2 linked regions of the Oryzias latipes genome follow. The protein of the gene in region 2 purifies or fractionates together with the protein of the main gene of each other region. This does not show direct contact. Links are inferred from orthologs where the notes say so. Each region holds a gene or a part of one and is shown on either strand. Other genes may lie near its edges.

Region 1 (4,364 bases), on a different chromosome or scaffold from region 2:
AAACGTCTCACAGGACAAGGACACAAAACAAACCAAACTAAAACCAAACACAAAAAGCAAGGACATTTGTGTTCGACTGTCTGTTTAGCTGAGCTGGCTCATAACCAATAAACCTTTTCAGAATTTCTCTGCCACAGCCAATCAGCTCCTGGCTCTTGTTTCTGAGCCTGTAGGTGCAGACAATTAAGCTCCTAATTGCAAAGCTCCTGCAGTCAGCATATGTAACTGATCTTCAAGTTGGATGTCTGCAAAAGTCACAGGATTGTTCAGTCCGATCTCCAAACTGAAGAACGCCAAATTCCATCAATAAAACTGTATATAAAATATACATATTAAACATAGTGTTTGGCTTTAGCAGAGAAGTTTGGCAGCATTTTAAGGATTATATTTGGAATTTTTTCTTACAACAAATAAATTGTCCATTGAAAGTCTTATTTTTTTTTTTACTTTAAAATGATTTACAATTGTATTCAGTCTAATTTATCTGCACTACAAAACACCAGCAACTTTTTCAGTCTGGTCTAAAACTAAAGGAGAAGTAGAAATTGGTGGGGTTAGAGAAATAAACAAAACAAGACTCAAAAAAATTGAACAATTTAAGTTTTATTCTGAATTTTTTGTCCAAATGAAATTTGACAATGTTAAGACATCAAATAAAAAAAAGGGACACAGCATTAGAATAAGGAAAGACAATACAATAATTAATGTTGTCGCAAAGCCGCATGCTGTGATGGGTGAAGATGATTCTGTTCGTCCTGAGTGTTTAAATGGCGGAGATGCTAAGAATGTTGCCCCCCCCCCCTCTCTCTCTGGAGGAATGGGGGGGGGGATCATTACAAATAAATAGTGAGGAATTTTAAAATCTAAAAATAATAAATAATAAACAATTAATACAATGATTGGAAGACTGCAGAACCTTGGACATGACATGAAACAGTAAATAAATTATTCCCTGAAGTTAAATATTTGTGGCAACAATTTAGTATTTGGAGCACACAAATTAGTATTACATGGCCAAAAATTAGCAATGCATTTGCATTTTGTGAGCACAAATGACAATATTGTGTAGAAAAATTTGAATTTTATATGTCCAAATAAGCCTTTCATGTGCACAAATTAGTAATTTAATGTAATTAATTCCTACTAAAACTTTTATGTCACAAAATGGTACTTTGTTTGCGCAAAAACTAAATTGTGGCAAGAAAAGGTTCATTTGTTAAGTTGTGGCCTCAAATTATTATTTTGAGGAAGCATCTTTTTAATGTCCCGACCAGGGCTCCGTAGAGACAGATAAGAACATGTATGCAGAAATCTGAGGAAGAGCTCAAATGATTTTACTTAGAATTCTTGTTGCCTTGATGGACTGTTTATAAAGATATACTTTACATACCCCCCCCCCCCCCCGCACCCCAGTTTCAGCCCCTCCCATGAGCCGCGTTGCCCCGGCGACTGCCGGGTTGCGTGATGACGTCGCAAGTATATGAGCGCAGACGGCGGGATCTCGCTCCCTTTTACCGCCATCAGAGCGAAGTCTCTTTCTTCACGGGTCCGCCTCACTGCGCAGCGCTGTTTCCACAGTCCTGTCTCCGGCCACACAGCGAAGGTAAGGCGGACAGGGCTCAAGTGCCGGCGCCTCGCGCGCCTGTCGCCGTCCAGGGAGTTAAATTCGTGCTCTGTCACTTGATGGGAGTGAAAGTGTCGGCGGAAGACTGCTTTGCCATTGCTAATGCTAAGTTAGGCAGACGCCAGCAGCCATTGCCTGGCCCCTCCATGATGTGTTACACGCGATAAAAATAACTGAAAAATAACTGCTAACTGTGCTGTGTATATATATGCGCCGTCTGTTCGTCTCGCCAGGATTTGTTGCACTTTTCTGTCCAAACGTTAGTCGGTCCCTGCGCAGCAGGTCGTTTTTCGACATTTGCCCACACATGTCTGGTTATATTCACTGCTTTTAAGGGGGGGGGGGGTGAGTGACCTTATTTTCAGAGGATGGTATCAGGGTGGGGAACAGTTGTTTACAACCGTGACTTGTGGAATAAAGTGCGCTAACGCAGCTTTTAGCATGATTATCACGCGTGTTGACGTGGATCCGGAGCGTCGGGAACGCTTCTGAAAGCGGTCCATGTTGTGTGGTACCGGAACCGTCCGTCATAGCGGGTCTTTTTATTTTTTTTCTCGCTGCTCCCCGAAGAGTGCGCATCAAGCTAACGGCGCACGAGCTAGCCGAGCCGGCCGGACGCGGGGACAGGAGCCGCTCTGGTTGGTCAATGTTCCGCTCGTGGGTTCTGATTTAGGCTAACGGTTCGGCTCGTTTGGCCTCCTTTAAAAACGCAGTTTCAGAAAATTGTCCTTTGTCAGACCTCGGCAACACGTGGTCTGTACCAGAGGAAACTTCTCCACCGGTTCTGCGCAGAACACGTTCAAGCTAATCCTCAGTTTAACTGTCATCTCATTCTACATTTTATTCTAATTTTCAATTTGAATTTAAATCGTTGATTTTAAATTTGAAGTTGCAGGTTATTGACTCTTGGATTATGGTAAAAGAATTACTCTCCACATTGCTAGATTTTTAATCCAGGGAGTCATCTGAGGATCAGACCCCACAAGTGTCATCTGACTCTGAACTCGCCTGTGCAGCTGGATAAGGCTGAATGCAGCTCACCTGGGATCAGATGTGGATAGAGGGGTTGGATTCCTTTTACCTATCAGATGCATATCATAACTAGTTGACAATCTGATTCAGGGTTTTTGTTCAGTTTGAACAATCCAATTCACTCACCCAAAGTGTTTCCATACATTGAACTGGAATGATGGACTGATCAGTGTTGCATCACATGTGTTGTCCGCTGTGATGCACTTTTATTAAAATAAACGCACCATGTCGCTATCCAAATTGTATTTTCCAAAAATAATTATCGATTTACTTCATATGGAAAATTTTTGTTGTTGTGGTGTATGTCAACTTGATTAACAACTTAACCTCAGACAGATCGATCTGGTTGGTTAAATTGATTCGATTTAACGTTAGGCCACTTGTATTCTGTGAATTTACTGGAGTTTCCAATCACATCACCTGTTTACATTCAATCGGTATGGTTTTAATTCAAAATTGAATGTATACGTTTCAAACTTTTTTTAGCTTTATATTTTTGTGTTTAAGCAAACATAAGAGTTATGACGCACAATTGTGAGACTCCTTGGAAGAACATTTAGTTCAGTAGAGCTTTTTCTGATTCTCAAGATATCTTTCATATAGTTATGACCTTGTCTTCGCTTGGTTTTTGGATTTATACATTTTTAATTTGTCTCTGCATGTTTTATTGTTAGAAAACATGAAAACTGTTTGATCTCAAACCTTTTCCAGTAAATAAGAAAATAATTTTAAGTATTAGATTAGATTTAAAGATAAATTAAGAGTAAATTGTAAAGTAGAAAAAACCGTCAATGTCCCAGACTACTAAGGGTTAAATTCTTTCTTTCAGTTTCAAATGTTATAACAAAAGTTTGATCTAACTTCGGCTGACTGCTCCTGTGCTGTTGTGCGTTCTAGTTGGACTTGTTGCTGTCAGGTTTCTAACCTCTTCCTGTGCTTCCTCCCAGCATCACTTGAGACTCTCCAAACATGTCAGACATTGACAAGTGAGTAGATCTGACACAAATCATGTTGTGGGGAGTGGGGAGCCACCTGGACCTTCTGGTTGATCATCTGCAGGATTTGTTGGAATGTGTAGATGATGGTTTGCTCGGGACAGAGAGCTGTTGAACCTTCCTAATAGATAACACTCTGTCTCCCCCCCACCCCCCACCTCCAAGCAGTAAAGACCAGACTGAGATGGACCCGGCAGACATGGAGGATGTAGAGGAGGTGGAAGAGGAGGAGACCGGGGAAAATGAAAACAGCAAAGGTACTATTGACCAGCAAATTGCTCCAGCAAAACCTCTGGCTTTCTGGTAACTGATTTGAGTCTTTTATTTTGAAGGAATGTGGACTCACTGAGGTGCACTTTGATGTTATTTCTAGTCTGTTATTTAAAGAGAGCCAGAGCTTGTGCATTACATTCTGAACAAGGTTGTAATCGGATTATTATGGATCCTGGAAAGATGCAGCTGTTCTGCCACATCCAGAACACCTGCAGATCCAGAGTCTTTCAAAGCTGGAATCTCAAGAGTGGTTCTGTTTGTCTGGGACTGATCTGTCATTATTGTTCATGATGATGAGCGGGTCATGCATTCATGACAAACGCACTTGCTAGCTTTTTCCACACCAACAATGAGGAGAAACATCAGGGAGAACCTCTGCAGCTCTCCTGCAGGATTCATGGAATAATTGAGTCCTCTTCTGCTGTTTGTGCTCTCAGGGA
Region 2 (3,649 bases):
GGTGGAGCTCTCGTTATAGCATTACACTTTCTTCCAAAAGATTTGAGCAAAGAAAACAAAAGAGAGCTTTACACCACAGATTTACCTTTAAAAAAGTTTTGCTTTAAAGGAGTTTGGAATATTCATGCCTGTGAGTATATAAAGTTGTTCATTAAGTCAGCAATGTATATTTATGTCGGCAGAGCGTTAACTGTCCTAAGGGAAGGGAACTTCCATTATACGTTGCATCAAGCTAGCAGACTTTGGCTTTACTGCTATTACGTGTTCGGTCACCAGAAAAGGAAAGGCAAAAGAAGATCAATCTCTACTTTTATGGATTGATTACTGATGTATTAAGTTTGGATCGATTCAGATTGAGTAATCCCTAAAAAACACTGCAGTCTAGAATAACATTACAATGACAGTTCTATAGAATACAAACACCCAATAAGAGAAATATATACATGTATATGTGTATATATATTTATTTATTTATTTATACATATATGTGTGTTCCTGCTTTCCCAAAAATGATATTCAGCTCCTTGATTAAGGTAAAAGCAAATGCAACATCTGGAATAAAGATAAATATGTTTTTTAAGCATTTTTAAAAAGTTGGCCTGACTTCTCCTCTACAGTGGCTGGGCTTGAAATGTATGAGACATGAAATCTGAATTCTTGTGAGCGTACCAAGAGAATATTGAAAGCAATGACTTTAAATATGTCAGGATTCAGGGACAAAAAAAAACATGAATCGGAAACAAACATGATGGGGAATGTGAATGATTTCAGACAATTGGCTCCTTGTGGGGCTTAAGGGGCTGCAACATCCACACTGCAAGTAAAGCATTGAAACACCTCTTAAAAACATAAGTTATCGAACATCTGTACTCAAACACATTGATTAGAAAGATTTTTCAAATTGTAATAAAATAACACTGATAAATAGATGGTTTTATACATTATTAACATGTGACAGGACACAGAGTTCCTTTTTGCAATAACAATATTTTTAGAGAATATTTGTAAAGCTTGTCAAGTTGGCTGGGGGATGGATCTTCTAAAATTCCCAGAACCAAAAGCTTGTACTTGCTTTCATCCAAGTGTTATGTGGCCAAATCCTGCATCTTGAAACACGACTACAGAGGGGCCAAAGCAAACAAACGGCACAGAAATGTGACAAACACTCACAGCAACATAGACAGACTGCTTTGGCATAAGTAGTTTTAAATGGCATAAATATCATTCGAAACCAAGGATTAAAGCATTGTAAAGGCCATGTAAGGAGCCAGTGTAATAAACATCCCTTTCAGAACAGGTCTTTCTATTAATAATAATGTAGTCTATTCAGACTTAAGTCTATTCAGATAAATAGACAAACTGTAACTTAAAATCAGCTTAATTCCACAGATTTAAGGAATGTAAATTATCCCACCATTGCTTTTCAAAAGATCTTTGACTCAGATATCTTAGGGGAATAAAAACAAATCTGCTTCTTTAAAATTCACTGTTATTATTGGAACTGGAAAAATGCACAACTTTACCTATATTTGATATTTTCTCCCCAGGCTAAGTTATATTCAGTAAATATCGTCGCTTTATGCTTATTTTGCAGGAGAATCACCAACACTTGTAATTCTTCGAATATGCCCACTCATCGAACGATAGACTGAAAGCCACAAACTCCAATTGTAACAAGGCTCTGAAAGTATCTTTCTTTGGATTTCCTCACTGGTGTAGGGTAAAGTAATTATGATCCCTAGTTATAAGTTTTCAAGTAAAATAGACGCTCTTAGTAGGAACTGTTGAGGAGTATCGCTTATGCCACAAGATGGAGCCAATCACCTATAAATCTAGTATACAGTGGGAATTTCAGTTTCAGTCATTCCATCTAAGTGTTTCACATATATGTTTTATTATTATGAATGAATGTGAATGGAAATGTGTTCAAACAAAAATACTTTAAAACCTTTTGGTGCAAATTGTAAACGGTGATTTTCCCCAAACAAAGTTCACACTTCTCAGCTACAAAGAGAGACCATATATAAAGGAAACAAATGGATTTGTTGATGTCTTACCTTGTCCTTCTTGTTGGAAGGGCTTTGGGGTTTACATCTAGAGTCCTGATTGTTGGGGGCAGAAACCCTGTTCGCGAAAGAGGGGGGATGCAACTCTTCTTCCCCTTCACCTCCCTCCTCCTCCTCTTCCTCCTCCCTTTCGCTTTCTGCTGAATGTTCAAACTCATCGCTGTCTTGGTCCATCTCCTCCTCATCCTCCTCCTCTTCCTCCTCTCCTTCTCCCCTCTCGTCCCTTCCTTGTTCATCCCCTCCCTCTGTCCTCTCCTCAGTTTCATCCTCCTCTTGGTGGCTGCTGCTGTTGTTGTTGTTGTTCTCCTCTTCTTCCTCCTCCTCTTCGAGGGGTGGCTGCCCTCTCACCTGTCTGTGTTCGGTCCCCCACATCCACCTGGCTCCTTTTTCGTCTCCGTTCACTTCGTTTGGCGGGGCTCCTTCATCTTCCTCCACCTCCTCGTTTCCCTGAGGGCCATTGCTGGCTCCTGATTCGCTGGGCTCCCAAAGCTGCTCCCTCTCACCATCAACCTGGGACACCTCGGGCTTTGAAAAGGAAAAGAACAGCGGATGCTTATGTGAAATGCCTTTCAATTCTAAGGCTATAGGATGTTAAAACAATGCTAAAGATGATATTTTGAGTACCACCTAAAGAGAATTAAGTTTTAAAGTTCAAAGGAATATAAGACTGCTTTTAAAGAAGTTTGTGAATCAAAACAGAAAAAGGTTGCAAACTTGAACCTAAAAAAAACAAGAACACTTCTGGAACAAAGTTGTACGCAGAGACGATCCCACATTGAGAAGACAGTGAAGGGCTGTGTTTACTCAAACTCCTAAGGTTGGGTGGGTAACGTTTCTGGCTTCTGCCAAGACTTTATATAAATCACTTTGTTCTGGAGCTAGATGTGAGGCCATCCATCGAATTCTGTGAGATCAAAGCGACTCATTTAATTACTTATTTTACTAAACTGAGAAATATAAGATAAAAAAAACACAGTTGACTGCAGTCTAGGCCTCTCGTGTAGAGATGTTTCTTTACAGGCCAACCCAAGAAAACACAATTAAAGAGTTATGCATTTCCTTGAGTTCATATTCATAAAGAAGGATCCCTACGTTTTTTTTTTTAACATGTTAGGGAAAACTTAATCCACCATTATCAAAATAGTTATAAATCTTTCAAGTATCAACACATTTTTTATAATCTTCCCCCTACATAAAAGGGAAATGTTTCCTAAGCATGAGCTGGCCTCACCCTCTGTTGCAACTGCTCATCCTCCTCGACAACCCGGTTAATGTGCTCATCCTCGTCGGCTTCTTCTGCCGCCTGCTGGGGTGCCCGGGTCGTAGAGGAGGTGTTACCTCGCACTGCTGGACCCCCGGGCCCCCGACTCCGCCTGCTGCTGCTGCCCCCCGACAGCAGATCCTGGTTCATTTCTAAAAGCCAGCTTGCTACCTCCTGGACCTTCGCTAGGCTGTCTGAAGATGAGAAGGTCTTGACATTCTGCAAAGATAAAAAAAAAATAAAAAGACACAGATGTTGAAGGTTTTACTTACTTTATTTATTTAGTTAGATGAGGGGAGGACGTTTCATTAACCCCTCATTT

What was found. Proteins that work in one complex are often made in the same cells at the same time.
Region 1: the proteins of fbxw7 (region 2) and nap1l1 purify together in Homo sapiens (affinity purification with mass spectrometry, with the first as the bait; 3 studies listed by BioGRID). This does not show direct contact. The link is inferred for Oryzias latipes from reciprocal best matches to the Homo sapiens genes FBXW7 and NAP1L1.

What each region holds. Positions count from the first base shown.
Region 1 is NC_019881.2:10,005,922-10,010,285, reverse strand, and holds the start of nap1l1 (nucleosome assembly protein 1-like 1), read left to right. Parts: upstream 1-1,449; 5' UTR 1,450-1,464; coding exon 1,465-1,603; intron 1,604-3,603; coding exon 3,604-3,642; intron 3,643-3,779; coding exon 3,780-3,908; intron 3,909-4,364. UniProt on the Homo sapiens protein: Histone chaperone that plays a role in the nuclear import of H2A-H2B and nucleosome assembly.
Region 2 is NC_019859.2:19,453,338-19,456,986, forward strand, and holds part of fbxw7 (F-box/WD repeat-containing protein 7), read right to left. Parts: intron 3,547-3,649; 5' UTR 3,478-3,546; coding exon 3,298-3,477; intron 2,592-3,297; coding exon 2,058-2,591; intron 1-2,057. UniProt on the Homo sapiens protein: Substrate recognition component of a SCF (SKP1-CUL1-F-box protein) E3 ubiquitin-protein ligase complex which mediates the ubiquitination and subsequent proteasomal degradation of target proteins.